Linked DNA regions of Caenorhabditis elegans. The protein of the gene in region 4 interacts with the protein of the main gene of each other region in a pairwise test. Each region holds a gene or a part of one and is shown on either strand. Other genes may lie near its edges.

Region 1 (7,123 bases), on a different chromosome or scaffold from region 4:
ATGGTCCAAAACTACCGAATTTCGTAATGAGACGTTCTGAAAATTTTTCAAAAAAAAGTTATGGTCTTTCAAAGTTTTGGAAAAAACGGTCTATTTTTAGCTAAAATCTCAAATTTTGGCAACTTATCGGTGTCGCAGTGATTGGAACTCGATTTTTATTTGATTATCATCCTTTAAAGTTTTGAGAGGCCATAACTTTTTTTTGAAAAATTTTCAGAACGTCTCATTACGAAATTCGGTAGTTTTGGACCATTTTGGGTCTAAAAACGCAAAGTCTCAAATTTCGGTACCCCACCTTTAAACAAAATCCGGACTTCCTCGGCAACTTCTCTGCCAACTTTAGCAACTTTAACAAATTTCCAAGCGCAACAGTTGCAAAAGTTGAATAAAGTTGGTATTAAAAATTTTTCATCTTCTATTTGCACATCACCTTTTCCACTTCTTATCACAATGTCACCGATAACAAATGCCCATAAAAGGAAATTTTTTACAGTCCGACTTCCAGCATTATTTTCTCCACAAAATCATATTTTTCGATGTATGTCAAACTTTTTTTCTTGGCAACACTTTCTGTGTTATCTAGTGCCGTTTGCCCAGACAGTAACGACCAGGAAATCAAAGGACTATGCTTCAAATTTGTAGCTCAGCAAGTCACATTTAATGATGCTCGTGATTGGTGTTTTAACTACAACCGAGCTGCTTCATCATATTTGGCATACGTCCCTAATCAGGAAACGAGCAATTTTTTGGCATGTGAGTATCAAGAAAATTTGTAGCAATTCCATTAGGGTTTCCTGGGAGGCAGAGCCTGACACCTGCCTCCAATTGAAACATTTTTCTCGTTAAAGCTTTGTATAAAATGTATTTTTCAGTCTACGCCCGTTCAGCTTTTGGTGCGGATGCTGAAAACTTTTGGATCGGGCTCACTAGAGATGGTTCTTCTGGCTACTATAGATGGGATAACGGATCTCCAGTTCTATACACGAACTTCGGTGATAACATAGGAAACACGTTTTTCACTGAGAGCATCTCCAATACAAAATGGTATACACTGGGGGATTTCGATAAGAACTACTTTTTGTGCAGTTATGATCCACCTGGCAATTCAACGACAAAATCTGGAATAACGACACATTGAACAACTAGTGGCACTAGATCACGGAGCTCATAGGCCGCCATTTCTTTTCAATTGCTGAAAAATGAATATAAAAATTGTTCGATTATTTTCAACGCCTTGGTTTTTGCTTGTCATTTTTCCAAAATCTTAGAACTTGAAACTATTGTCAAAATAAAAAAAACTGCGGTTTTTGCGCTGTATCTTCGCATTTTCTTGTCTTCCGTTTCCGTCATCGTGGGATTAATGATTTTATTTACAGGAACACCGGCCAGAAGTCAATCACGCTATGGATCAGCCACTTTGTCACTTCATTCTACAGTCGTTTGATGGAACCATCCGTGCACTACGAGTTCAATTCCCATGCCTCCAAACTTCTAGGCTACAGCAATCTCGTGTGCGTTCGCGCGCGTGCTTTGCTGTTCTATATCCTCTTTTGCTTGTCTACCATTTACCTTCAATAAAACGGTTGTGTTCCTGTGAATTGTCTGCACGAAAATTTTTAAAAATCTACTTACTTTGGCTTTCGAGACAATTTTGAATATTTCAAAGAAATTTTTTTGAAACTACAGTTCATTGTATGTTGGGTTTCAACTTCCTGACAAGGATGGAGCAATTGAAAATGCACATTTGTTTGTAGTTTTCTCATATGTCAGTGAAATTTCCTTGAAAATTTAATTTATTTAATTTTATAAAAGATAGAAAAAAGCCAAAATGGAATAATTCACAAGACGTCAGCTATAAATTAATTTGTTTCAAGCAAAGTTGAAATTGAAATTGAAACTTGAAAACACACATGAAATTTTAAATTTTGAGTTCATTTTATTATTCATTAGTATGCAATCAATGATACTCTTAGATCGATTGTCAATAAGGAGTTTCCAAATAATGTTGCGACTTCCACTCCGTACCGCCACTGCCTCAAATTATTACTACACATTTTTTTTTGTAGAAACTCCTATGTGTTTCTGATAAAATGTTTTAATACCTTTTTGTTTATGAAAAATCACAAGTCATATGCATATGCAAGTATTAAAAATTGATAAGCCCACTTTTTGCGTACATCTTGCGTACTCGAGACCCCCACTTGCTGCATACATCGTGTTTCGAGTCGTACTACTTTTTTTCGAGTTTCCAGATGCTTCTTCCCAAATTTCTACTTTTAACAGCATTTCTTGAGTTTGCCAGTGCTATTTGTGCTGACAGTAATGATCAAGAAATCAAAGGATTTTGCTTCAAGTTTGTAACCCAACAGTTGACATTCACAGATGCTCGTACTTGGTGTCATTTGAAGAATCCTGTCGGTCCTTCTTATTTGGCTTATGTCCCTAGCCAGGACACATCAACTTACTTAGCATGTGAGTATACATTTCGATTAATACAAAGGGTCGACTATTACCATTTTTTTTTCAACCGGGATATTGCAGATTTTGGCTGTCGGCTGGTACAGCCAGCCGATACTTTTGAAATTTTTGAAAAAAGAGCAAATTTCTTCAAAACTCTCAAATTTCATTTACAATGTTACAAAGAATTATCGGCCGAAAGCCGACGAAATTTTATCAGTCGGCTGGCGCCGATCAAGTTAATTTATTTTAGTTTACGCTCGTTCTGCATTTGGCGCGGATGCTGAAGTCTTTTGGATTGGTCTCAGTAGAAACGCCTCGTCTGGATCCTTGTCTTGGGATAACGGGCTTCCAGTCGCTTATACCAATTTTGGCACAAACGTCGGAAAAAACTACTTCACTGAGAGCATCTCCAATACTAAATGGGATACACTGGGCGATGGTGATTTGAATTTCTTTGTCTGCAGTTATGCGCCTATTGTCAACTCAACGACAATGACAAGTATCACTGGTACCACAAAACGAATGACAACCACTACAATAGGTAATTAACTGAAACATTCTTCACTCCTAGACGTATCATTTTAGAAAAACTTAATTGCAAACCCGGTGATCACCAAATTATTTTGTTCGCTTATTCAAATGACTTGGCTCCAAGTGTTGTGACGGATGCATTGTATTATTCTTCACTTTCAAGCCAATCTGTTACTTACGCCGTTTCGAGATTTGATTTACGTCAGCCAGAAGATATCCAATACTTTAGTGACTACAGGTAAGTTTTGTTCCTAAAACGTTTCAAAGTTTTAAGTAACGACAGTGGGAATTTTGTTTAAATACACTCCAGTGATCCAAAATAGCCAAATATAACATTCAAAAAAGTTTTAAATTTTTCATAATTTCCAGTCAAAGTTTTGGCAAATTGCCGAATATTTTAAAATTATTTATTTATTTATTTCAATACGATTTTTGAATCGCGTCATTAGAAAAGAATACAAAAATCATTGTTTTACTGATTTTTGAAATTATCTGCAAGAAGTTCCGCTTTTTCTTGGTCTGTGCTGACTAATGCCCCCGATGCAGTTGTTAAACTAGATAGATGTATCTGTTTAGACTTGATGAGATTTTTTACATCATGAGTGAACTCAGAGTTCCCTCCGGATTTGAGCGCTTTCAATTTAAGGTTTCTTTGGTTTTTTGAAGCTTTTTCCTATATTTTCTAGATGTGCATACATTAAAAAGAAATGCTTCAATGTTGTTTGTTTTCGCAGCTGTGGTGTATAATTTAGCAGCAAATTCTTTGAGTAAGGTTAAGTATGGTGGGAGTGAACTTTTTTGTGTTAATTTTTTAGGCACTGAAACTTCAAACGCGTTTTTCATATTCGTCAGGAATATCCGAAACATCGTATCTATTGAGTTTGTAGGTGAGAATAACTCTAGCTCGCGTATATTTTAAATGCGCAAGCAAACAGGTCTATATTTGTGAAATCATGTTACTCTTTGTACTCACGTCGCAGTTCATTTAGTATTTCTAGAGAAAAATCAGCTTGCAATTACTGAATATCACATCTAAGATGTTGTGTGACCTTTTTGGGACTTTGACGTGCTGAACCAGGTCATGCGATCTGCAGAAATCGAGCAAAAGTGTTTCCAAACCCGGATATTCGGTTAAGATATTTATTCAGCAGAGAAATAGTGTCGGTATAAGTTACAGACCTCGGTATATGCAGGTGCAGACGGTATATTTTTATAAGTCTCAGCGGCATAACCTTGACATTCAAATCGATAGCTGGAATTTCGAATGATTTCTTTTTGATTCAGTTAAAACTAAATCGCAGGGAATGTATATTAGCATTTGAGGACATCCTAAGCAATGTCGCAAGTTCCGACCCCTACAATGTTTTAATACTAATAATTAAAACAAGTTTACAGTATAAAAAATGCAGGAAAAAACTATTTTTGGTTGACTTCCAAAATCATGAGTGGCATAAATTGTTTCTGTTTGACAAGAAACAAAAAGTTTTCAAAACATTTCTGAAAATGATATTTGGCCATTTTTCTGGCTGTTCACAATTTCTCCACTGGCACCACCTTGAAACAATACTTCAGTCTATTCTCTTCTTACGTTTCCTCTCATCTACCGGATTATACATTAGGATTCGAAGAAGCAACAACAGGAAGTAATGTGTTTGAAGTTATTAACGTAAGTATTCGGTTGAACAGGTAAAACAATAAATATATAATGTTGAAAGATTTAGAAATTTTACGACAACACCCAAGCCACGTGTGGTTCAAATCTTATAATTTTGTCGAAACGATACCCCAATACAGCAGATGTATCGAACATTGTGCTTAAAGTTCGAAAAAGTCAAGGAATGGTCAATTTTCTTGCGTCTCATGCTCCTTCTGGCGGTACAGTGTCTCAGGGGCTTTATGATCTGTGTTCTCTAACCAATGGAATCTACTCTATTGGACGCGATTCCTCTTTCTCAAATGTCATACTTACATACAACTTTTGTTTTAAAACAGTCATATTTTCAGATGATCGAATCAATGCCTATACGCTATAGATACGCAATATATGCTGACAATCCCAAAGTATCAGGACAAGGATCTCAAACACTCGCTTCAATGTCCGTACCAGCCGATGGTACTTATTATTTGTCAATGATGCTTCAAAACCATAGTACGTGATAGATTCAGAATGCTCAAAAACTTGGGTGCGGCAAAGTGTACTCAAGCATCTGAAAAATTGTTGCAACTTATTTCAGTTCGAAATTCAATTAGAAGCGATGATTCGCTAAAAAAGTATAATTTACACAGATTTTAAACCGTGCAGAACATCTCAATATATGTTTTTTCCTGGCGAAAAAATAACTTCCTGTTCTGAAAATACAGATTTACTCTTGAAACGTTCTTACTACATATGTATCACTTCATTTAGTACATGTACATACTTTTTCAGCTCCGGTCAACACTACTCAATCTGTACTCCTACACTGGTATAGTCCATATTCTAGATACTCGAGCACAGCGAGTGTGCACGGGTTATCTGTAAGATTTCAACATCCAGCAAAATGTTTTGTAGTAAAAATTGCAGTTTGAAACTAATAATAATGGCGCAAATTCGGAAATACTTGATGCGGCAATATACAATGTGACATTGGACTTTGTTTATTTCACTAGTGAAACTATGCAAATCAGATTTTACGGAACGTAAGTCATTTTGCAAATCGTGTTCGATCAAACAGAATTATATTTTCAGCTCTACTGATCATTGGTTGCCGTACGCTGATTGATAACTATTAACTTCTACCACTTACCTCCAATAAAACTACTGTGTTTTCTTGTCGAATTCAAATTTCCAAAACTCAACTTACTTCGGCTTTCGAGAAAATGTTGGATATTTCCTAGATTTATGTATACATTCATTTAAGATTTTGTTGAAATTGTTGTGCTTGGGTTTCCGAATTTCCTGATAAGCTATTAAAACTTTTTTGGGGCGAGTCACTGAAATCACTGAACACTCGTCGCATTTGCTTCACATTATTCACTTTTTCATATGTTTCCCAAAATATCTATCCTGAGATCCCTAGTCCGGATATCTCGTTCCGCTTGTTCTGATAGTAAGGACAATGAGATTCAAGGGCAATCTAAAAAAGTAGTTTGTATGTCTGAAAATTCAAATACGCAAAGAAGAAATACATTTAAGTGCAAAAAGTTTACCTATAGGTGTGTATACATAACACATGTATCGCTGACGTACATACATGTGTGGGAAAGTTCTATAGGACCCCCTCCTCATTTTTGACGTTTCACATATGGCAAAAAAATTTTTGAAAACTTTTACCGTAGATTGATTTCAAAAAACACAATAGTTCACAGAAAATTTTTGCTATACTAATTTTATTCCTTTTAAATACTTCGCATATATAAGATGGTTAAATCGCTTCTAGTCAGACGAACCAAGTGTTTTTGACAACTATGGCGGGAAAAATATGTTTGCATTTTTTTAATTTTTGCCATCTTTGTGTGCAGTAGAGAGATGGGACAACCTGACCCACGTGATGTGCAACATTGTGAAATGCATTTCAAAGTAGACACACAGTACCAAACATCGTTTTAACTTTTGATCGAGAGTACGTAATGAGTAATAATTTCCAACTGCTTATCACAGCTTGATTCAACGTCACGTTCTTGTGAACTTTTGTGTGTTCATATCATTTGCAGTTTTGATCAAATTTTTATATTGATCTTAGCTTTTTCTTATCGTGATTTGCTTAGAATTCATTATTTCCAAAGTTATACCTTATCTCGTGAAAAAAGAACGACATATGTGTACGTCACCGATGTATATATAATGTAGGTAAACTTTTTGCACGCATTTGAATTTCCAGATGCTTCCCAAACTACTTCTCTTCTCGATAATTTTTGAGTTAGCCAACGCCGCTTGTCTAGACGGTGACCGAGGAATCGCAGGACAATGCTTTACGTATGTGGCTCAACGGATGACGTAAGAGGATGCTCGGAATTGGTGTCATCACCAGAATCCAGTAGGTCCTTCCTACTTGGCATATCTTCCGAATTTTGAGACAAACAACTGCGTGGCATGTGAGTAACAATAGCTAACATTAGTCTGAAATATAAGGTTTTTTGATCATAAGACTAG
Region 2 (8,358 bases), on a different chromosome or scaffold from region 4:
AAATTCGCAGCGCTTTCCCATCTAATTATAAATAATTGAAAATTTCAGACATTGCGTGAAATGAGCAAAGAAAAAGTACGAAAAACTGCAAAGAAAGTTTCAAAACTTTATAAAAAACTTTAAAATTTTGCAACATTGATTTTAGCGGCTACAAACTACAAACTATAGACTACAAACTACAAAATACAACATTCAAACTATAAAATACAAACTACAAACTACAAACTACAAACTACAAACTACAAACTACAAACTAATACTTACAAACTAACACAACTTTTATTTTCAATTGTGAATTCTCGGGTTCTCGGTTTTCTATTTTTTTCAAGATTTTCAAAGTTTTTAAACGAGGAAATAGAAAACCACAAACTACAAACCACAAACTACAAACTAAAAACTACAAACTACAAACTACAAACTACAAACTACAAACTACAAACTACAAACTACAAACTACAAACTACGAACTACAGACTACAAACTACAGACTACAAACTACAAACTCCGATCTAAAGCTTCTATTTTTGATTTTGAATTCTCTGATTCTCGATTTATTAGTTTTTTTGCTGTCCAAAGATTTATCAACGAGGAAATATGAAACATTAAACACAAACTACAAACTACAAACTACAAACTACGAAATTTGAAATGCATACTACAAAATACACACCTCTTTTCTAGCACTGACAATTCAAATTTTGAACTTTTTCTGAATATTGAGAAACTGCGCGAGAAAGTTAGAAACTACAAACTAAAAAATACAAACTACAAACTACAAACTACAAACTACATACTACAAACTACACCATACCAACAACAATCCACTTGAACATAGAATTGCAATAAGTATTCATATTATTTCCAAACTTATTGAAATTTTGAGTTGTGGGTTGTTGTTGCTGTTGTGTAATTGTAGTTTGTAGTTTGTGTTTTGTACTTTGTAGTTTATAGTTTTTAGCCTCTAAAATCAAAAGTTAAATAAACACATTTATTTTTTTAAAAATTAACAATGAAAAAATGAGTCAAACAGTCTCCAAAACTTCCTCAGCAATCTCCTTGAACACTTTATCACACTTTGCCACTGCGGGACCCGTCAAATGTATGTGATTATCCACGTATGATAGTTTTGTAGTCCTGTCGAATGTCAGGTACACGTCGCCGTCGAGAAACAGCTCACCGAGGTTGAAAACCTGGAATTAGTTGGGGAAAATTGTTGAAAATTCGCAGAAATTTGCACCCAAACCTTGCATTTTGTGCACTTTATCCTACTGAAACGTTCACGAGCCGTTCTCCAATCCTCATCCACGTCGATTTTTTTCAAGTGAAGGCTCTCCAGCTCCGCTGGCTTCTGGGTTACTGTATCGAGGTACTTGTTCATAAAATTCAAAGGGTATAGCGGGTGAGGTGCCAGGATGTAGATTTTCTTGGCGAATCTGGAATTTTTTTTAAAAGATATTGAAAATTGAGGACGTACAAAATTAAACAACTGCCCAACTTAAAATAAACTAGGCTTCTAGGTACGGTATGTCAGGTCTAGGTAGGTTAGGTCTAGGTAGGTCATATTGAAATAAGACTAGGCTTCTAGTACTCTACGTTACAGGAAAAAAAAACTCAATTTTTTAATTTTTTTTTGTCTTATGTTTTTATCAGATTTTCAAAACTTTTCTAATTTTCAGAGTTCGATGTTTGTAGTTTGTAGTTTGTAGTTTGTAGTTTGTAGTTTGCGTTCATTGTTTTTTATTTCCTCGCTGAAAAAAACTTTAATAAGCAACAAAAAAATAAATCGAGAACCCGAAAATTAAAAATTAAAAATAGAAGTTGTAGGTTGTTGTTTGCAGTGTGTAGTTTGTAGTTTGTAGTTTATAGTTTATAGTTTATAGTTTAGTTTAGTTACAAACTACAACTTTTGTTGTTGAATTTTGAATTCTCGGGTTCTTGATTAATTGTTTTTTTTTTGTTGCTTTTTTTAGTGGTTTTCCACCGAGGAAACAAAAAATTGAAAACAAACTACATACTACAAACTACAAACTGCGGACTACAAACTACAAACTACAAACTACATACTACAAACTACACACTACAAACTACAAACTACAACATTTATTGTTGAATTTTGAGTTTTCGGGTTCTCGTTTTGTTGTTTTTTTTTGTTGCTTTTTTTAGTGGTTTTCCACCGAGGAAACAAAAAATTGAAAACAAACTACATACTACAAACTACAAACTACAAACTACAAACTACAAACTACAAACTACATACTACAAACTACAAACTAACAAAAAATTGTGGACTACCTCAAAAAGAACGAAACTTTTTTTTTGAATTCAAACTGCGGTGCGGTTGAGGAGTAAATAAAAAACTATGACCACAAACTATAAACTACAAACTACGAAAAATTGTGGATTATCCTAACAAGATCCTTTTTGAGTCACTGTCAGCTCCAACCTCAAAGTTCAATTTTTTTCAAATGATCTACTAACAACCGCAAATTTTCGCTGACCTCTCATAAAACCGCAAATACTTATTCATCATCGCCACAACCTCATCCGTCTCAATATCCCATATAGGTTGTTTCAACGACGGAGAATATCTGGCTATAACAAACAGAACATCCGGTTTCCGAAGTTCCACCTGCTCCTTGGCAATTTTCAGGGATAGTTGCTCCCAATATCCAGCCGGTGTTGAGAAATTCCCGTTGTGGAAGAACCCGTTACAGCCTGAAAAAAATTGAAAAGAGGCTTGCACGTGGTTACGTAGATCTACAAAAAATGCGGGAGAAGAGACGCAGAGTTCGCAACTTATTTCGCATGGTTAAGCACGTGTTGACGTCACATTTTTTGGATAAAAAAATCCCGCAATTTTTGTAGATCAAACCGTGATGGGTCCCGCCTACCTCCAATAAAAAGCGATGTCCAATCCGAATAGTTTGAGCGAAATTGTGCTCGAATATGTCCGTCCAAATTTTCCACGTAGCTATTTCCAACGAGCATTACTGATAGAGTACCATTAGCTTTCTGTTAACAAGAAATCTAGTTTGTAGTTTTTATAGTTTGTAGTCCTACCGGATATCTGCAATAGTCAAATTTAAACCCATTCTTCCTCAGCTCGGGAAGCTCAGTCTCCAGACAAGTTTCCTGTCTGGGCTCATACGACGTAATATAGGGAAGAAGCTTCATATTCTCGTCGACAATTTTTCGAACTCTTGGCTGATATTTAGGTTTCCAGAATTCGTGGGTTCTAGTGCTCCATTGAGCTGCTCCGTTTAGGCAAATGAGCAGTAGGATCAGAAGAGCCGTCGGTTTTGTGCCAAGCTTCAGGTACTGTTTCTCGTAAAGGTGATGAGCCACTACAGAAATCAGAAGTGTCAGTGCTGAAAAATTTGAAAATTGGGGAAAGTGTAGTTTGTAGTTTGTAGTTTGTAGTTTTAAGCTTTTTCGCACAGTTTCTCAATATTCAGCAAAAGTTCAAAATGAGAATTGATAGTGCTAAAAAAGAGGTGTGTATTTTGTAGTATGCATTTCATATTTTGTAGTATGTAGTTTGTAGTTTGTAGTTTGTAGTTTGTAGTTTGTTTTTTATAGTTTTTTCACTTTCTCACACAGTTTTTGGATAATCTGCAAAAGTTCAAAATGAGAATGGTCAGTGCTAAGAAAAAGGTGTGTATTATGCATTTCATGTTTGGTAATTTGTAGTTTGTAGTTTGTAATTTGTAGTTTGTAGTTTGTAGTTTGTAGTATGTAGTTTGTAGTTTGAAGTTTTGTCAAATGTTTTGTTTTCAACATTGAAACTTGAAGTTACTGTATTCTATTTTTCCAGATTCTAGATTTCGATTTTAGCAATTGTAGTTTGTAGTTTCCAATTTGTTGTTTGTAGTTTGTAGCCTTACCAATACACACTGCATGACTCTGAATAGTTGATTCCTTGAAAATTGCAATAACCGGCCAGTGAACCAAATACATGACATACGAAATATCTCCCAAATAGCACAAAATTGAGCTTTTCAGGGTCTGAAAATTACCAATTTTCTGGAAAAAATTCAAAATTGGCTTGACATCTTACCCCGCAAGTCTTGTTCTCCAAGAAAATCACCGCAGAAGCTGAAAATGTTACAAGTGGGCGGAGCCAAACAGCATCTGCCTCCGCTGGGAAAATACACAGAAATAGCACGGCAACCAGGCAATATGCAACATCATTTTGGGGAATTTTCCACGTTTCTGGTTTAGAATCTTTCACAGGTTCCGTAGGTGCACATTTTTTCAGAAAAAGTGCCACAAATCCGGCGGAAAATTGCCATAACCTTAGCAGCATGTAATTGAAGGCAAAATTTGAATTGCTGAGTAAAAATCCCAACATTCCGAAAATCGAGATCCCGGAGACTAGTGCCAGCTTGCCACGTGGACTATTAGGCAGTCCAATTTGTAAGCCTATAAAGATTACAGGGACAAGCAGGTAGAATTGCATCTCAACGCCCAGGGACCAAGTATGGATGAAAGTGTTGATGGAGGTGCCGTCGGCGAGGTACTGAAAATGAAAAATTATGCTAAGTCTATGCATTTTTGAATTTAGAACATTAAAACAAAAATTTTTGGACCTCGCGGGGGTCGAACCCGTGACCTTCTGGGCGCAAAGAAAATCATGGAAAATCCCACTGCGCCATTCGGGACAAAATTTTTAAATTGCCAGAAATTAAGCTTTTCAAGGTTTTTACTGCATTTTTAACGTCATTTCCTATTAGAAAGTTGAAAACAAAAAAACTGGCACCAGCGGGGGTCGAACCCGTGGTCTTCCGGGTGCAAGGAAAATCCCACTGCGCCAAACGGCCCAAAATTTTTAAAATGTCGGAAATTAAGCTTTTCGAGGTTTTTAGTTCATTTTTAACGTCATTTCCTTTGAGAAAGTTGAAAACAAAAAAAACTGGCACCAGCGGGGGTCGAACCCGTGACCTTGTGAGTGCAAAGAAAATAAAGGAAAATCCCACTGCGCCATTCGTGCAAAAATTTCAAAAACGGACAAAAACGGCAAATTTTTTTTTTTCCATTTTTAATAAGAATTACCTGCTGAAAATAGTCATTCAAATCTTGGATCAGCAACTGATTAGTGACTAAAAATGTTGCAGCTAACGAATATCGCCGATTGACATCCCACCAAAACTCGCGGAGCCAAAAATGGGCGGAGACTAGGGTCACGACAATCGATAAATAGTAAAGTGGCAGGATTCGACGAAATCTGCGATAGTAGAATCCGAAAATTTGAGAAATTTTGGTAATTTTCACGTGGGTAAGGTTTCGAGCCATCAGGAAGCCGGAGATCACAAAGAATCTGAAAAAAAAATTTTGGTGCAGCCGACACTTTACAGGGGTTTTTACTGCGCTAAAGTCTCTTGAAACCTGACTGATCACGCAGCCGACACCTCACAGGTCCCTGTAGCAGCCGACACATCACTGGTCCTCCAAGCAGCCGACACCCGGCTGGCCAGTGGAGCAGCCGACCTCTCACAGGTTTCTCAAACAGTCGACGCCGAACTAGTCTCTAATGCTGCCGACCCTTCCCAGGCCCCTCAAGCAGCCGACACCTAACTAGTCCCTAAGGCAGCCGACACCTCCCTGGCCCCTCAAGCAGCCGACGCCGAACTAGTCTCCAAAGCAGCCGACACCTCACTGTTTCTTTGAGCAACTGGCGCCTCACAGTTCTCTTAAGCACCCGACACCTCACTGGACTTACATGTCAACTCCAAGGTAACCATTTGGAAAAACTGAAGGATATAAATGGTAAGTAAACACAAAAAGTATAGCCAATCCACGTAAGCATTGAATATCCGCACGCATTTTGATTCAGGAAGCTTTGAATTTTCTCCGAAAAAATTTTTGTGATGGGCGGTAAGATATTGGTCGATCATCATCATATTGTGTTTTCTGCTTTGAAACAGAAACATCTCCTAGAGAATTTTAGCGGGGAAAATTATCTCCCGATCTTTTTCTCGCAGGTTTCGGTGAAGCTAATGGACAGCTGAAGAGGTGGAAAAGTGGATAGAGTGTACTTTGGTGGATTAGAAAAATTGAGGGGAAAATGTGTAAAAAATTGTCTAAAAAAAGAGCATAGGGCTGCGAAATAAATGTCGAAAAAATTCTTTAATAAAAAAATTTTTTTTTTGAAATCAACAAAAAATCTAACTTTTCCAATAACTCGAAAAACATTTTTTTCCAATTTTTTTGAAAACCAACTCTCTAAAACATACTTTTTCGTCCAAAATGTCACAATATTTCCCAAATATTTAATTCGATCGGCAAATTTATCTGATCATATGCTGTTTAACCAGGTTTTTCCCAACACGTGAAAATCGTTTGAAAAACCGGAACGCTCCCCACGCGCGCGGCGGATAAACTAGACACTTCCTACATAGAGTGACGTTTCCAATTTTTGTAGGAATACAGAATCCAGGGGGAAAATTTCTCGGAAATATGTGTTTATTGTGTCAAAACAACAGAAAATATGATAACCACCCCGAAAATTTTGAAAATCTAGAATTTTAAAAGTTTGGGCCAAGTGGCGCAGTGGGATTTTGGCTTTGGCTCGGCTCAGAAGGTCACAGGTTCGAACCCCCGTGGTGGTCAAAATTGTTTGCTTTTATGCTTTTTCTGAAAAATAACTTTTAAAATACGAAAATTAGATCGAAAGCTGAAAATTGTTATTTTTAAAATTTTGAGCCAAATGGCGCAGTGGTATTTTGGCTTGACTCAGAAGGTCACAGGTTCGAACCCCAGTGGTGGTCAGAATTTTTTATTTCAACCATTTAGTTTAGAGTTTAGTCTTAGAAGAGAGACACTAACTCAAAATACCTATTTCAGGCGTTTTTCGAAAATTTTCAGATTTTTTTGAAAATTTTTTTTCATCATTTTTGTTGAACAATCCAAAACGTCGCAAATTCGATGTTTTTTGTTTTTGTTTTTTGAAACTACTATTTCTGTGCAATTCTGGTTTAAAACCCTAATTTTTAGACGAGTTTTAAATTTTGGTCGAATGGCGCAGTGGAATTTTGGCTCGGCACAGAAGGTCGCAGGTTTGAACCCCCGCCCTGGTCAATAATTTTTTCTTCGTTTTAATTGTTAAAAAAATACTTCTAACTTTTTTCATAACCAAAAACCTAATTTCCTATAGGTTTTCTACCCAAAAACCTTCAAAATCTTCCAAAACACAACAAAAAACTAATTTCGAATTCTGCACCTCTTCAAACGTCAATTGTTGTTTCAAATCGAGCCATTCAACCGCACAATTTCCTGCTTTGAAATTCCACAACAGCAGCAGCTTCTCCTCTTCTAGAAAATATAAGAAAATTGGGAGAAAAAATCTAAAATTCAGCATTGTTTGTACTCTGCAATCTGATACCTAATTATTTTTGGTTTTCTGAGTAAACATCGACGAGTTTCTGCTACTTATTTTCTAGTTTGGAGTAAGATACAGGTAGGATTTTGTAAAATGAATTTTGAAAAAATTGAAAAAAAACATTTTTGAATTATTTTCCAAAATTGTTTTTCGAAAATGTTTTGCAGAACCTCAACAAATCCTAGGAATTTATTAAAAATTGGCTTGAAATTAGTTTGCAGTGTTACAAAAATTGTTGGCCCTAGCCGGGATCGAACCCCTGACCTTCTGCGTCATAGCCGAACCTCTACCCAACTGAGCCACTGCGTCGCAACTTTTATTTTGAGAAAATTAGGTGTACGGTAGTGGTTTTTAGGACAAAATTTCACGGGGAATCCGAAAATCGTATCAATTTTCAATTTTGAATTGATTTTATTTTAGAAAAGTAGTTTCTATGGAATTTGTTTGTTTAAAAAACTCTCCAAAAGTGCATAAATCTAAAATAAGAGACTCAATAACCTCTCAAAATACCATAAAGTACTTGCCAAATGGAAACAAAAATCATTGACCACAGTGGGGATTGAACCCCAGACCTCCGAAACCAAAGCCAAACCTCTACCCAACTGAGCCATCGCGACCCATTTTTCTAAATTGCGAAAAAATTTGAGCCCGGAGGCTCAAATTTTCCGAATTTTTTTTAGATAAATGAACAATTTTAATAGTTTGTTACTCGGTTTCTCGTGACTTTTCTATTGTTTTTCTCCCCAATTTTCCGGTGTAAAAAAAACAATGAAACGCATATGTTTCGGGTGGGGTATAAAAAATAAAACTCTAGTAATAAAATAACGCATGTCTGGGAAAATTTCTGTGTTTTGATTCGAAATCACTTTTAATTTCGATTTGATCGAGGAATTTCTGGATTTTTTTCCAAATTTTTTTTTTCAAATTTTTAGATTTTGATGTCCCCAGTGGCAATTTGAATATTTTCCCAAATAACCAAA
Region 3 (6,609 bases), on a different chromosome or scaffold from region 4:
AAATCATTGATTTTTTGCTATTTTTCAATGAAAAATCGATAATTTATTGATTTTTCGTTTAAAATAGCGAAAAATCAATGATTTATCAATTTTTTTGTTGAAAAATCAATAAAGTATCGATTTTTCAAAAAGTATCACAAAAAGGACATTCGATTTTTCAATTGACAATTTTTAAAATTCGCGCAAAATCGACTGAAATTCGATATTTTTATCGATTTTTCAACAATTTTCCATTGAAAAATCGATAATTTATCGATTTTTTGCTAGTTTTCAATGAAAAATCGATAATTTATTGATTTTTCACTCTTTTTCCGATAAAAATAGTTTTATTATTGATTTTTCAGTGGCAATTTTCAAAAAATCGCAATTAAAATGTCCTTTTTGTGATACTTTTTGAAAAAATCGATACTTTATTGATTTTTCAACAAAAAAATTGATAAATCATTGATTTTTCGCTATTTTAAACGAAAAATCAATAAATTATCGATTTTTCATTGAAAAATAGCAAAAAATCAATGATTTATCGATTTTTCAATGGAAAATTGTTGAAAAATCGATAAAAATATCGAATTTCAGTCGATTTTTCACAATTTTCCGGTGATTTTTCGCGATTTCCACATTTTTCCGTCAAATTTCCTTTTTTTTTCTAAAAAAAAACGTAGAAAATCTATAAAAATTGATTTTTCAAAAAAAAAAAATTTCTTCGAAAAATGTTAATTTTCAGCCGAATTTTCTCGATTTTCCCCCGAAAAAAAAAAGCTCATTTTTTTGCAGAGCCGCTCGTGGCCAATTTGGTTTGGATCAGGCGTCGGTTTGGGCACCGGATGGTCGAATTGCCGTCACGATTTCGCTTCGCCGTACGTTTTGCACGGAAAACGTGTTCCAGCTGGACAGGATTCGCAAGGAAAACCGGCATACAATATTATCACCGAACAACACAAGCAATAGAGAAAAGAAGAGATAAATTTTCGATTTTTTTGAGATTTTTTTGAATTTCCGCCCGCCACCCCGCTTTTTTTTGTTCTCTCTTGTGTCGAAAAATAGGAAAATGTGTGAATAAACTTATGAAAAAATATCGATTTTTTCGGATTTTCACATGGAAAACGGAACATTTTCAGATTTTCAGATTCAAATTCGAAATCCCCGCAAAATTTTGAGCTGAAAATTTAGGATTTGACTAAGAAAATAGCGAGGAATTCGAATTTCGCATTAAAAATGCACAGAAATTATTCGGAGCTCTCAAAAAATGAGCAAATTTTCAGAAAACGGAACAAAAATTTTGAATTTTGACGGGTTAACCGAAAATTTGAAAATTGCAGTTTTCTATAAGAAAAAAAATCGGGAAATGGATGGAAAAGACAGATTTTTCATTTTTACATCAAAAATTTAAGAAAATTCTGTTTAAAACTGCTAAAAACCGATTTCTTTGCAAAACCCTGTTAAAATATGATTATTTCCAATTTTCGAGCTCAAATTCGAGTTCCCCACAAAATTTCAGGCCAAAACCCGAAAACTAGAGGTTTCTAGTTCAATTTTGAATTTTCCCGGATTACGGTAGCGCCAAAAGTACGCAAACACCGACTACCAGTACTTCTACAGTACCCCTATATTTCTAAACCCCTGCAAATCTTTAAAATACGCCTGAAATCCATGAAAATTATAAAAATTCGGCTGAAAATTGTGAAAATATCCATATCACGTGTAATTTAAATAAAAGAAATCAATGAAAATTTAATTTAATTTTAAATTGATGACGTGTAAATGATCTTTCAAAAAAGAAGAAAATTTCCGTATGACCTCCCGTGTTATTGTTTTCCACATCCTTATCTCGTGAATTTGATCAGTTTGGAAATCAATCAATAATCAGTTTCAACTTTTTGCCCGACTGGAGGATGTGCCTGCCTACCATTAAAGCATTCAAGACAATTCTGGACGCCGGGAGCCACCGAGCAACTCAACTGGTGCCGTTGAAGAAGCTGAAGGCCGAGTTTCAGCTGAAAAGTGATATTTGTGAGTTTCTATGTTTCAGAAAAATCTGAAAATTTCCAATTTTCAGATGTCAAACTCGAATATCTCAACATCTCCGGGTCGCTGGAAGATCGTGCGGCTCACCGAGCATTTGAGGTGAGAAAACGGAGAACAATTGGGAAATGTCAATTCAAAATTCGAATTCCTTGCAAAATTTCAGTCTGGGACTGCAGAAACTAGCTGAAAATCGCTTCATTTTGAAGAATTTCCAGCTTCGACCGCGACGCGGCCGCAACGCGCGGAAAAATTGCCGAATTTCTGGTTTTTAACCGAATCTGGTCGATATGGGGTTTAAAATTTAGCAAATTTTGCGGGAAATTCGAATTTTTTAGTTAAAATTTTCCACATTTCCGGGAATAGTCACAAAATTATAGGTGTCAGTTAAAATTTTTGGTCACAATGGACTAAAAATAATTTTTACCAATTTTCGCTGCTAAATTCGAATTTATCTTAAAATTTCAGTCGGAAAATCGAAAACTAGAGGTTTCTAGCTCAATTTTGAAATTTCTCGGGGTACGGTAGCGCCAAAAGTACGCAAACACCGAATTTCACGCGATTTTCGAGTTTTGAGCTGAAAATTGAGTTTTAGACTCAGAAAATGGCGAGGAATTCGAATTTGATAATAAAAAATCCCAGAAAGTAATCTAAAATCTCAAAAACAAATTTTTTTAATTGATTTTTTCTTTTTCAGATGTCCAACGGAATCCAACGAGGCGACGAGGTCTACGTGACCGCCGGCGGATCATCTGCAGTCTCCTATGCCACCGTGGCAGCCGTCAAGGGGGTCAGACTAACCGCCCACGCACCTCCCGGAGCATTCGACCAGGTCAGGACGATTCTGAGCACTTTGGGAACCAAGATCGTGGAGCTCCCGGTTTCAAACTTCCGAGAAGCTCGGCTCCAGGCTGATCTACTGGCCAAGCGTCGAGGTGTCTACAATCTTGATGGGATCTGCGAGAAAGCCGCGTTTCTGGCGAATCTTGAAGGAACTGCACCGGAGATTGAGAAGGCTGGGAAGACCAGTGCAGTTGTGGTACCCCTGGATGCTGGTGGAGCTTCAGCGGCAGCAGGGATCGCTGCTTACTTCTTAAAGGATCAGAAGACAACAGTGGTCGGAGTGAGATCTTCAGCTTCAGCTTCAGCTTCAGCTCCAGCTCCAGAAACAGAAGTTCTTCTGCAGAAGTACAAGGTGGAAATCCGAGATGCTCCTGAATCCTACACCTTCACCAGACACCTCATCGAGACGGAAGGGATCATGGCTGGACCATCTTCCGGAGCGGCAGTGCTGGAAGCCATCAAACTCGCCAAGGATCTTCCAGCCGGGTCAGTGGTCGTGGTGGTTCTGATGGATGGAATCAGGGACTATCTAGATGCTGATTGGATGAAGGTGAACGGCAAGAAGCCTATCAAGCCTCGTGAGATCTTCGACCCGAAGGTGCTGGACTACGATCCGACGAAGATGGTCGGGGAGTGGAAGAGTTCCAGCAAGTTCAGGTAGGTTATAGGATCTGAGATTTAGCAGAAAATTTGATTTTCAGGCCGGAAAGACCACTGGTTCTCGACTCAGTCCTCGATGCGATCGGCAAGACGCCACTGGTGAAGCTTCAGCACGTTCCGAAGGCTCATGGAGTCAGGTGCAATGTTTGTGAGTTGGGAATTCCTCTGTCCGGTCTAGTCTAGTCTAGTCTAGTCTAGGCTAGTCTAGTCTAGTCTAGTCTAGCCTAGCCTAGTCTAGTCTAGTCTAGTCTAGTCTAGTCTAGTCTAGTCTAGTCTAGTCTAGTCTAGTCTAGTCTGGCCTGGCCTGGTCTGCCAAAAATCCTCATCTTGGACAATTTCAGATGTCAAATGCGAGTTCCTCAACGCGGGCGGCTCCACCAAAGATCGAATCGCTAAGAAAATGGTCGAAATTGCTGAGAAAACCGGCAAACCCGGAGCACTCACCCCCGGAGCCACCACCCTCATCGAGCCCACCTCTGGCAACACCGGGATCGGCCTATCCCTGGTCGCGGCGGTCCGTGGCTACAAATGCCTGATCACGATGCCTGAGAAGATGTCCAAGGAGAAGTCGACGACGCTGTCGGTGCTAGGATCCACGATTGTCCGGACTCCCAACGAGGCGGCCTTCAACAGCCCGAGCTCTCACATCGGAGTGGCTCTTCGCTTGAAGCATGAGATTCCGGGTGCGGTGATTCTCGATCAGTACTGTAATCCGGGGAATCCACTGGCACACTATGAGGAGACTGCGGAGGAGATTTTGTGGGATATGGGGGATCGGAAGATTGATCTAGTGGTGAGTAGGAACTTCGGATCAAGCTTCAACTGTTACTCTTACAGGTCCTTGGCGCAGGAACCGGTGGTACCATCACCGGAATCTCTCGGAAGATCCACGAGCGCCGTCCCAACGCGATCGTCGTCGGCGTTGACCCGAATGGATCAATCCTGACCGGCCCGACGACTGGACCCGCTCCAGATTTCTACGAGGTTGAAGGGATCGGCTACGACTTCATCCCGGGGACCCTGGACGAAAAATCAGTAGATTCCTGGCTAAAATCTGATGATAAGGAGTCATTCCTGATGGCTCGAGAGATCATCAGAACCGAGGGGATCTTGTGTGGAGGATCGTCGGGATGCGCGGTGCATTACGCGTTGGAGCAGTGCCGGAAGCTGGATCTGCCGGAGGATGCGAATGTCGTTGTGCTGCTTCCAGACGGGATTCGGAATTATCTGTGAGTTGTCTGGGCCTGGGGCCTACAAAATTAGGCCCAGCTTGCTTTGAGGTCTATTTGCTGTTTGATCTCTGAAAATTGCGGGAAACCTATAGTTTTTGTCGTTTTTAGAGGTCAAAATACTACTCTGTAGCCCCGAAAGCCAAGCTTAAACATAATTTTTCAGCACCAAATTCCTCGACGACGACTGGATGAAAGCCCGCGGCTTCTTGTAAATTGTGACCTAAAAAAATACTTGAAATTGGAATTATGAACTGAATTTTTGACATGAATGAAGATTTTTCTCTTTTTAACCGAGTGCAATCGCGCTCCATTGATATTTTTCCAGATAATTGGGCTTTTTTCCCGAGTTTTTTGAGATATAACCGATTTTTCATTAAAATCGATGAATTTTAGTGGTTTTTGCATTAAAAATGACCGAAAATGCATTTTTCCAGCAATTCGCCCTGTAAAATTAGTGAAAATATGGATTTTTCGTCATATTCCCTGCAAAATAGACAACAGAAGCCATAATTCAAATAACAGAAGCCATATTCGCCGTCCAGCTCAATCGCGCTCCACCGCACCACACTCAAATCCCCCTGCCACCCCGGCACGCGAAGGGGGCCCGGACAATGAGACACCCTGCACACTTACTCTCGCCGCCTCTCGCTCTCTCCGCTCTCGCATTTTCTATTGATTTTCCTCTTGTTTCCTCGAATTTTTTAGTATTCTAGAGCAGAATTTGGTGTTTTAAATCAATTTTTTTATATTTTAGAGCTCGAAATTATGACTTCTCTCGTGTTTAATGACAAAATGATGGCGGAAGAGGGTATGATGGTTCCACAAGCGGAACAAGTGAGTTTTTTGTGAGAAATGAATTAATATCGAGATTTTCCTGTGAAAAATGCTCAAAATCATAATTTTTAGGAGAAAATTTAAAAGAAAACGTCAAAATAGGAAATATTCTGAGCTTGTTATAGGAAAAAAAACCGTTAAAAAAAATGATTCCACAGAGGTTTTTTTGCTGATTTTTATCGAATTTCGGCCTAAAATTTCACTAAAAATTCATTAAACCCCAAGATTCACTGATAAAATTTTGAAGAAATTGCGAAAATCTTTGGAAAACCGAAAAAATAGGGTTTTTTTGAGGAAAAAGTTCTGAAAAAGCTAGTACGAACACACTTGGTGTCACGCTGTCCCATTACGGTTTGATCTACAAAAAATGCGGGAACTTTTGCTCAAAAAATGTGACGTCAGCACCACGTTCTCAATCATGCGAAATCAGTTCCCGCATTTTTTGTAGATCAACGTAGATCAAACCGAGATGGGACCCTTTGACACCAAACACAATTTCAGAAGCCATCCATCCTCTTTGACACCAATTACGAAGTTGTTACACAAGACCACTTGGTAGAATTCGACTACGTGTATGCTCCCGGCGAAGGAGAAGCCGATGCGAATCCTGAAAACCTGTTCAGTAACGTCTTCCCGTCAGAGCTGCCGATCAACCTGACTGGTCAGGATGATAAAAGTACTATGACAGCAAAGGAGAGACGAGCGGCTGCGGATAGAGCTAAGTGGCAGAGAATGTCGGAAGAGCAGCGAACTGCTCTCAATGAGCAAAGAAAGCGTCGTCGCCACAGTAAATGTGATTCCGAGCAGATGAAGGAGGCAAATGCGAAGAAGGCGGAGGCGGCGAGAGCCAGGTATCATCAAATGTCGGAAGAGGAGAAGTTTGCCTACAATCGACGGAAATATGAGTCACGAAAGCAGCGGAAGACAGAGGAGCGGCCTCTCATTGATATTGAATCTTTGGTAAGACTGGCGAAAGCTGAAGCTATACAGAATGCGCGGAAGGTTGAGGTGTGAGAAG
Region 4 (8,882 bases):
TTAGTTTTTAAGTTTTTGCAGGCGCCCTTTCTTTATAATTTTTTGTTTCAAAAAAAAACATTCTTTGTTCTCATTCTCATTTCTCACTTTTTGCTGTAGATTCTCACAAACTACTTGTCCGTGTTTTCTCTTCTTTATTCGTTGCATCTTGAAAAGTTGAGGTTTTCTACGTAATATCTTGAGTTGAAGTGACAGGGAGAAGGATCCTTGCTATCTATCTCTTATTCTATGCGTGATTTGATTGTAGGGCCGTTTGACCATGTGCTCGTGAAGAAGTCCGTTAAAAGAAGAGGGCTATAACTTAGTTGCCTTTTACTCTTCTTCTCATACTTCACTTTTGCTTCTTTTTGTCAACAGCTTCTGCTTCTTATTTGGCTTATTTTCTTATTTTCTTCTCTTCTTTTGATTGGAAAATCTCACGTTGAAATTTATTTTTCTATGAAAAAACGATTTTCCGAAAAAATTAGGCATTTTCAGTTCTTCGTTCTTAGTACCTTACCTCGCATGATTTGCTTAAATATTACCCAGGTTTCACAAGTTTCTCTATTCCCTTTTCCCTAAGTTTTTCTTACTGAATAATGTATAAGAATGTGTACGTGTAGTCGATTTTCTAATTCATCGTGTGCTTAAAAACTTGAACTAGTAATAAAATATCAAGTCCCTAAGAAAACAGCAAAATTCAAATTTCTTCACTTGTCTTTGCACCCGACAAATACCGGATGATCCCCTAGTTCAAAGACTTCCCCACACTCTTCTTTTCTGCTAAAAATAGCCAATAACTGCGCACTTATTATAATATCCAAGGCGCACAAGCACTGAAATATCCTCCTTATCAGTGGTGAACAGTGGATTAATTCTAGATTGAGAGCTCAAAAATTAGTTTTGGGAACAAAGCTACAAAAAGTTACGTATTTTGTGAAATTAAAATATTTCTTCTTGAGTTAAAATTATTATTGCCATAATAATCATACTTGAGAGTAATAATTTCTACGCAAGACTTGATCAGCCAGCCAGCTTATAAAAGTTTAATAGTGAATCAATCTATCGTCTTATTCCTCATATTATTTTTTTTTAATTTTTTTGTAAAAATATGTTTCTAAAATTATATTAGGTCTCCAAATAAGTTCCGGGTCAAAAATCATTTTTAAAAAATCCGTCCAAAAAAATTTTTTTGGTTGGTCGTCAAAAAATCTTCGAAAAATCTAGATTTTTCCTACAAAAATGATGTAACCAATTATAAACTATTTTTACACATGCAAAAAATTTTATTATATTTTATGTTATCATTTTAGTGTGACAAACTAAACCCAAATGTTTTGTATGTGTAAAAGTAATTTACACTTGGTTACATCTTTCTTGTAGGAAAAATATAGAATTTTCGACAAAAAGTTTTTTGAAGATTTTTTGACGATCAAATTAAAAAATTTTTTTTTTGGACGGATTTTTTCTAAACTTTTGTTGTTTTCTAAAAATGTATTCTAAACAAAGCAAAATCCGCACACAAACCTCAATTCAAAGCTGAAAAGAAGCGAGATCAGAAAAATGCCTGAAAAAATTGCCTCCGAGTTAGGACACTTGGGGTGGTAAAAAATTTTTGTGACTATTGTCAAATGAAAGATCATGGTTGGTAACATACATCCCAAAGTTTCATAAAAATCGATACGCAGCGAACAAAGTTATGATTTTTGACCCGGAACTTATTTGGAGACCTAATAGTACTTGTGATACTAAATATAAATAAAATTATAGTACTTGTGACACTAAATATAAAAATATATAAATTCATAAACCTGCTGTTTTTATTCAGTTTCAAATAAGTATTCGAAAAAAAAGAACTTAGTTGAAAATGTCCAATTAATAGCGTGAAAAGCATTATTTTCCTGAAAGCTCATATTAGCTTTTGTTTCTTTTTGCGAATTAAATCTACCGGCAAAAAAATATTTGAAAATTTACAACCTTGATATATTTGCATAATTTTCAAGATTGTAAATAGTTTTGTCAGAAACAAACAGTTTTTGTCATCATCTTACATTCTTGGAATCAAAAAAATTGGATGAGGAAACCAAATGCCTGAGAGCAACAGCTGAAAAGTTTTGCCCTTGTGCTCAAACACACAAGAAAATAATGAGCGAGAAGCTATTGGAAACCTGATCCGTGTCCCGTTTTTTTTCCTATCCTCGTTCTCAATTCAGGAAAAAAACTAGAGGCAAGGCTTCTTCTGTTTCTCCTTCTATGTGCTTCTTCGATTGACTTGAAAGGTGTGAAGTATGTAAACTTGACCCAAAAATTTAGCTTATAAAAAAGAAGCTCAAAAGAAGGAAAAACGGCTCAGCTTTATCGCTGCTGTCGCTTCGTTCTTCTCACGGACGTACGTGTGTATGTGCGTATGTTTATAAGCTTCTTGGCTTAGAGGATATCGGAGGCGGAGACTATGTCTGGATTTGATACTTGTGCACCGCTTTTTAATTGGGCAATATGATACTCGCCACAAATCCGGGAAGCTCCTCCAACAGCTAACCAGGAGAGAAAAAGGAAGACGTGTAGTGGTTTTACCTCCGGCCATCTGATATTATTCTCTTCTAGAGTTCCATTTACTAAATATTTGAACTACTGATATTCTTACTCATAAACTTTTAAAATGAGCCTACGACCAAAGCAAAAGTCATCATCCACTTCGGTGTTCTTAAAGTCTCACAAGTTTTCGTTAACATCTCATATTTTAAGGTAAATATTTCTTTCACGTTTTCTGTTTCTGGTTAAATTAATTATTGTGTTGACGTTCAAAATTCTTGCCAATTCTTACCTCCCTGCATTAGTTTGTGTTATTCCATTCATCCCTTCATCATACCTCCTCCCATCTGCGATTTTCATTAAACCATTGTAAAAGATTTATTCTGGTGAAGGAAGGCAAAAAAGCGCGAGACGATGGATAGTGCAGAGCGTCGACGATCCGAGACCGATATTGGTGGTGGTCCCAGAAATAGCGCTGATGCTCGGCCGAGCCTCGATCTGTCGTCCGATCCTATGCTCGAGTCGAATCTTGCACTTCGTAAACTATCTGAAGCTTTCGGTAAGTCGTCAAAACTATTCAGTAGCATAGAAAAAAACACAAGTCCTTTGTATCCCTCTAATTTGTATTCTGACGTTTCATGTGGTTCTCAGGCGAGTGGTGTTTAGTACACACATGGGATAGGGCCCATTTTGGCGTGAAGAATGTAGTTAGGGGAAGTAATTTTTTAAAAATTATGAATTAAATCAATTAACTCTAAAAACATGTTCAAAACCTTCATCACTGATATTCTACATATTATGATTTTTTACCGTTTGCAGTTCATATTTCTTGTGTTTAACAATTTTACCGGTAGACGCAGGGTGACATCCTATATTATCAAATATGAAAAAGTAGTGTTAAAAATATTTGGAAGGTTTCTGTTTACCAAGATTATTTTTATTCAGGTTTGAGAAGAAGCAAAGTCTGAAAGTAAAGCCCTTTTCAACGGACTCATTATTTGAATATGATCTACAAAATATTATATTTTTCACTGTAGTTAGTAATGGTTAGCATATCTGTGTTAGTACGTGATTCTGATAACTTTGTAGTTGTTTCCGCAATTTCTCTCGCACTTTGAAAAACTATCTAATTAAAAGCACAACTGGGCAGCTGTGGCAGTTTTTTGAAAACTAGGTTCCTTTCTATCATCTTCACTCCCTATCTGTCAAAAATGCCCATTGATGAATCATTCAATTAAAATGTCCATAGTCGATTAACTGAGAAATCTGTTGCCATTTGCCTAAAATTGACGTCAGAAAACGCATTCAGAAAAAAAGGCGGTTGTCTGAAAAAAAGCTTCCATGTGACTGCTTCATTTTAAACTTTTTTGTTTGCTCTTTTCAATCGCAAGTGAGCCAAAATAGAATTAAACATCTCAGGGAAAAAACGACTAAATATAAAATTAGAAATTAGAATTGGGACATCACAATACATACCAACGCATTGGCATTGCAAAAAAACAAAAACCAGTTTCCTTTTGTCATTGATCTTCCAATTGACATTGATTGTATTTTAAGTTTCGAGAAAAAATTCTTTAGAATTTGAACATCATATGTTTTCCTTAAATTTTCATGAACAAATTTATCTTATGACTAAAGTTAATGTTTTTCAACATAGTGGTAGACTTAATTTGGAACAATGCTATGTATTAATTTGAGGAATTGTTAAAGATAAGAATGGATGTTGTAAAAACGCCAAAACAAAAAAGTGATGATAAACATAGTATGATAAACGTTTGATTAAACTTTTTTAATATGCAATTTCAACCATAATTTTTCGGAATGTTTTGTTATGATATTTAGCAATGTTGAACTATTAAAAATACGGGGTTAGGGTACTCCTCTTTTGAAGTTTTTAAGCTGGCTGATAGCGGGTATGAATTAAGGTATCGTTAAAAGAACATTAAATTCGCCGAACAGCTACACGGAAAACTTGAAAATTTATAAATTAATGTATTCTACCTTATATTAATCTCTAGTATCTAGTGCATTTATGAACACCTCCGCATTCTGTCATATGCCCATTTTAAAATTTCAGAAGTTAATTATCCAAATAATTCATAGTTTAATCGGCAACAAACATCGCACAATCGCCTTTTCACCGACATAATTTGTTTTTCTTCGCGTCTTTTTTACGAGACTGATCTTTTAAGTTCACATAATTTTACAAACGGGTATTTTTGATTTTGATAGTATGGAATTTTTTAAAGATGGGTTCAAAATCAGGCCACTCAGTCTTTTTGCAAAATTGCAACCAGATTGAATAAAAATCAGATTAGGGATCAAGAATTACAGGAAATAGGTGGGCGGAGTCAATCACGCACCAAGAAAAAACACAGGAGAAATGGAAATTGGAATGGGGGTGGGGTGGATGCGGCATCCATTGATGAGGAGTGAAACGGCGGCGGGGGCCTGTGGTCCCAACCCAAATTGTTCTATTTTTCATGTGCAGAACGACGCCATCAGCCTCGGCTTTTCATTTGCTAGGGTAGTCGTCGCTGCTTCTTCTCATTTCGGGACCTTAACCGAAAAAACGGGAGAAACGAGAGAAAACCTCCGTTTTTTTTCACGTTTGCTCACCGCCTCTAACTCATTTAGCTATCATCTGCTACCCTTTTCAAGCCCCGCCACCAAACGTCAGAAGCTCATTTGAAACATTTTATTAATTTTAATCTTGTACCACTTCATGGAAGTTCCACAAGCACAGTCTTTAGCGGCGGCTGCTCTAATCAGCCCTGTGAAAAACAATTCCACTGGTGGAGGTGGGAATCAACAACTTTGTATTCGAAAGTCTATATCAAACCCTTCTAGTCTAAAGGTTTACGCCCATCACGAGGCACCCGGTATCATACATTTTCCTAGATTTGAATTTTCTCATCGTCTATCTATCCGGCCATTGCTGAAAAGGCTTCACGAACAAGGTGAGCTATTCTACAAAACCTCCCAATTTGCTTCCTTTTTTGAAATTGATTACCAATGAAACACTTTTGAAACTGGCTTGGTATTGTTAGACGGAAATTTTGTTTGAAATCAGTGAGCAATATTTTTTAAAAAAAGTTTCTGAAGATACAGGTCCTAGTTGAAAAAAGGTCAAAACAATGTGAAGAGGGATTTGTTTTTCATCAGAAAATGTTTATTTTTATTAAGTACTATAAAACATTTGTTAGTTTATGTTTTTGAAATCTGACAGTATAAAAAGCCAATATAAAAATTAATATTGCAAATTATCCATGCAAAGTTAGCCCAACAAATAAATGTAGCTTTTCTCATTATGATTTTTTATTGATTTCTAAAATTTTTTAATATAAATTGCATTAACAGCAATCTTGTAAACAAAACAAACATAGTAGTGAAATTCCATTAAAATTCTTCCGTTCTTAAGAAAACAATAAATGGCAAAAAGTTTCTGAGGACCTCCAAGACAAAAGCATCTTCTGCCCGCATGTCCTATGACTATTGAAAAAGGGCGAAAATAAAAAAGTGACACAACCCAGTGTTTCCTGATAAAAATTGTTCATACCCTCCCATTTTCCCCTATTTCGCTTCCCACCATTCCCATGAAACGCGCATTTACGATTGTAAAAAACTTGCGACGTCGAATTTGTAGGTTTCTTGTTTTTTATGTTTTCAAGAGTAATCATTTTGTTCTTTAAAACATGCAAAAATAAAGTTAATCCTTAAAATGACCTCACGACACGGAAGCCAAACCCCATTTCATTTCAAAGTTTGCAACTATAGAAAACGAATACAAAAGGAGGGAGGGGAGGTTACACTAAGAAATAAAATGGTGGGGAAGATATAATTGCGCGGGGCTCGGAGAGCAAAACTCACCTATTTGATTCCCTTTTTCATGTTTGTCTTCGTTTCAGCTCAACGGATCGAAGGAAAAGCATTTGTTCGTCGTGGTGCACTTCGCCAGAAAAATGTGCATGAAATCAAGTGAGTTGATACCAAACTTTGAAACAAAACCCTCGTAAAAGTCAGCACTGTCCGTTTTCCTATCTTGGTTATTTGATAGCTGACATTTATTTTGACTGAAAAATTGAAAAAAAAAATTCTTTCATTATCTTTGAATATCATAGGTCTTTCAAATGAAAACAAAAATCAATATCTTGTTCTTGTTGCACAATTTTGATTCAAAGTTTAATTCTTATCAGATCGCACAAATTCATTGCAAGGTTTTTCAAACAGCCAACGTTCTGCTCACATTGCAAAGATTTCTTGTGGGGTATAACAAAACAGGGATTTCAGTGCCAAGGTAATTTATTGGAAATTTTATTTGATATTAATAATTATTTTCTTCTTAATTTGTATCCAATGCAATTCGAAACAAATGTTTATAAATCATAAAATGCGACTATAAAACAAGTTTGATAGATAAAGAGAACTCTGTTTTCAGTATGTACCCTTGTGGTACACAAGAGGTGTCACGAGTTTGTCAATTTCGCATGTCCAGGAGCAGATAAAGGAGTAGATACCGATGTAAGTTGTGCACTCTATCTTCTTTTTCTCTTCTTTTTTTATGACATCCATTCCTCAAACTTTTAATTTCAGGATCCTCGCCAGCAGCATAAATGGAAAGTTCAAACATACTCATCGCCGACGTTTTGCGATCATTGTGGCTCTTTGCTCTACGGTATTCTGCACCAAGGCATGAAGTGCCAATCTTGTGACACAAATGTGCATCACCGATGCGTCAAGAATGTGCCGAACATGTGTGGTACCGACAATACAGAGAAGAGAGGTAGACTACGAATTGAAGCACACATCGAGAATGATCAGTTAACCATTAAAAGTGAGTGGGGTGCAACGCAGGAAATTAAATGGAAATAGACAAAAAGATTGAAAGAATTGAACTTACGTTGTTCAATGATTCTCAGGAAAATAAATATTTTCATCAAAACTGCTAGAGTGTATAATTATCTTGATACACAACATTTGTTTTACAGTTCTGGAGGCGAAAAACTTGATTCCAATGGACCCCAATGGATTGTCTGACCCTTATGTGAAGTGCAAACTGATTCCGGAGGATTCGGGATGCAAGTCAAAACAGAAAACTAAAACATTGAGAGCTACTCTTAACCCTCAATGGAATGAAACTTTTACTTAGTAAGTCATTGTAACACTTTATTTAAAAATAAAACTTGGGTTTCAGTAAACTGCTACCAGGAGATAAGGATCGGCGGCTTTCTATTGAAGTTTGGGACTGGGATCGTACATCTCGAAATGACTTCATGGGAAGCTTGTCGTTTGGTATTTCAGAACTTATGAAGGAAGCAGCGTCCGGTTGGTACAAACTGCTCAGTGCGGAAGAAGGAGAATTCTACAATATCAACATCACACCTGAATACGACGAAGATATGGAAAAAGTGCGCAAGAAGATGAATGAAAACTTTGTAAGTATAAGTTCTAATGCAATTAGGTGTCTTTTATCGTTTTAGATCACACGAGACAACAGTTCTTCTAAGCCAAAAGACCCGGCTGCCCCAAGAGCTAGTACACTTCCTCTCGGCAGTTCCAATCACAACGTGATCAAGGCTTCTGACTTTAATTTCCTCACTGTTCTTGGAAAAGGATCGTTTGGAAAAGTGTTGCTTGGCGAACAAAAAACAACAAAAGAGCTGTTTGCGATCAAAGTGCTCAAGAAAGATGTGATTATTCAAGACGATGACGTGGAATGCACAATGACTGAGAAGCGCGTCCTTGCTCTTCCGGAAAAACCATCATTCCTTGTTGCTCTGCATTCGTGCTTCCAGACCATGGTCAGTGCGCATAACAGATTTATTGAAAAAAAGGGATCAAACATGTGGAAGTATTTAGATGTTAATAGATGTTCGAATTTGTAATACATTGTTGACATTCATCCACGTGTTTTTCCCTAGGTTATTGCAAATTATTCTGTAACAGTAAGTATGACATTGAAAATAATAATTGTTGGATAGATGGAATATAATATACATAAGTCCTGAAGGCACTTATTTTTGAATGAAAACTCTTCAAACCCCCAATCAAATCCGTATTTTGATGAATCTCTGTTTCAGGACCGTTTGTATTTCGTGATGGAATTTGTAAATGGTGGTGATCTGATGTATCAAATCCAGCAAGTTGGGAAATTCAAAGAACCAGTTGCTGTTTTCTACGCTGCTGAAATTGCCGTCGGTCTGTTTTTCCTTCACTCAAAAGGTATCATCTACAGAGACTTGAAATTGGATAATGTTATGCTCGAACGAGACGGGCATATAAAGGTATTCCGATTTGCTCAACTGTTTTTCAAACTATAGATTCATATTTAGATCACCGATTTTGGAATGTGCAAGGAAAACATATTCGGA

What was found.
Region 1: the proteins of pkc-2 (region 4) and clec-76 interact in a two-hybrid assay, tested with the Caenorhabditis elegans proteins (one large-scale study listed by BioGRID).
Region 2: the proteins of pkc-2 (region 4) and oac-1 interact in a two-hybrid assay, tested with the Caenorhabditis elegans proteins (one large-scale study listed by BioGRID).
Region 3: the proteins of pkc-2 (region 4) and cbs-2 interact in a two-hybrid assay, tested with the Caenorhabditis elegans proteins (one large-scale study listed by BioGRID).

The regions. Positions count from the first base shown.
Region 1 is NC_003282.8:3,963,080-3,970,202, forward strand, and holds clec-76 (C-type lectin domain-containing protein), read left to right. Parts: upstream 1-2,166; 5' UTR 2,167-2,252; coding exon 2,253-2,472; intron 2,473-2,710; coding exon 2,711-3,001; intron 3,002-3,045; coding exon 3,046-3,229; intron 3,230-4,563; coding exon 4,564-4,657; intron 4,658-4,712; coding exon 4,713-4,949; intron 4,950-4,995; coding exon 4,996-5,140; intron 5,141-5,419; coding exon 5,420-5,508; intron 5,509-5,554; coding exon 5,555-5,670; intron 5,671-5,719; coding exon 5,720-5,753; 3' UTR 5,754-6,114; downstream 6,115-7,123. Other genes in the region: Y46C8AM.1 (C-type lectin domain-containing protein), read left to right, coding at 537-753, 873-1,138.
Region 2 is NC_003283.11:19,550,025-19,558,382, forward strand, and holds oac-1 (Acyltransferase), read right to left. Parts: upstream 5,946-8,358; 5' UTR 5,824-5,945; coding exon 5,720-5,823; intron 5,318-5,719; coding exon 5,053-5,317; intron 4,520-5,052; coding exon 4,058-4,519; intron 4,006-4,057; coding exon 3,885-4,005; intron 3,369-3,884; coding exon 3,061-3,368; intron 3,013-3,060; coding exon 2,892-3,012; intron 2,716-2,891; coding exon 2,499-2,715; intron 1,434-2,498; coding exon 1,244-1,433; intron 1,191-1,243; coding exon 1,023-1,190; 3' UTR 975-1,022; downstream 1-974.
Region 3 is NC_003280.10:2,218,824-2,225,432, reverse strand, and holds cbs-2 (Putative cystathionine beta-synthase cbs-2), read left to right. Parts: upstream 1-1,865; 5' UTR 1,866-1,892; coding exon 1,893-2,010; intron 2,011-2,056; coding exon 2,057-2,124; intron 2,125-2,719; coding exon 2,720-3,522; intron 3,523-3,566; coding exon 3,567-3,673; intron 3,674-3,866; coding exon 3,867-4,318; intron 4,319-4,362; coding exon 4,363-4,754; intron 4,755-4,800; exon of another isoform or gene 4,801-4,920; coding exon 4,921-4,969; 3' UTR 4,970-5,037; downstream 5,038-6,609. Other genes in the region: F54A3.5 (MICOS complex subunit Mic10), read left to right, coding at 775-948; Y59C2A.3 (Trichohyalin), read left to right, coding at 5,523-5,591, 6,093-6,551.
Region 4 is NC_003284.9:9,373,633-9,382,514, forward strand, and holds the start of pkc-2 (Protein kinase C-like 2), read left to right. Parts: upstream 1-2,638; coding exon 2,639-2,724; intron 2,725-2,903; coding exon 2,904-3,070; intron 3,071-4,932; exon of another isoform or gene 4,933-5,063; intron 5,064-6,419; coding exon 6,420-6,489; intron 6,490-6,707; coding exon 6,708-6,808; intron 6,809-6,949; coding exon 6,950-7,032; intron 7,033-7,104; coding exon 7,105-7,345; intron 7,346-7,499; coding exon 7,500-7,659; intron 7,660-7,705; coding exon 7,706-7,946; intron 7,947-7,991; coding exon 7,992-8,312; intron 8,313-8,591; coding exon 8,592-8,795; intron 8,796-8,843; coding exon 8,844-8,882. UniProt on the Caenorhabditis elegans protein: PKC is activated by diacylglycerol which in turn phosphorylates a range of cellular proteins. PKC also serves as the receptor for phorbol esters, a class of tumor promoters.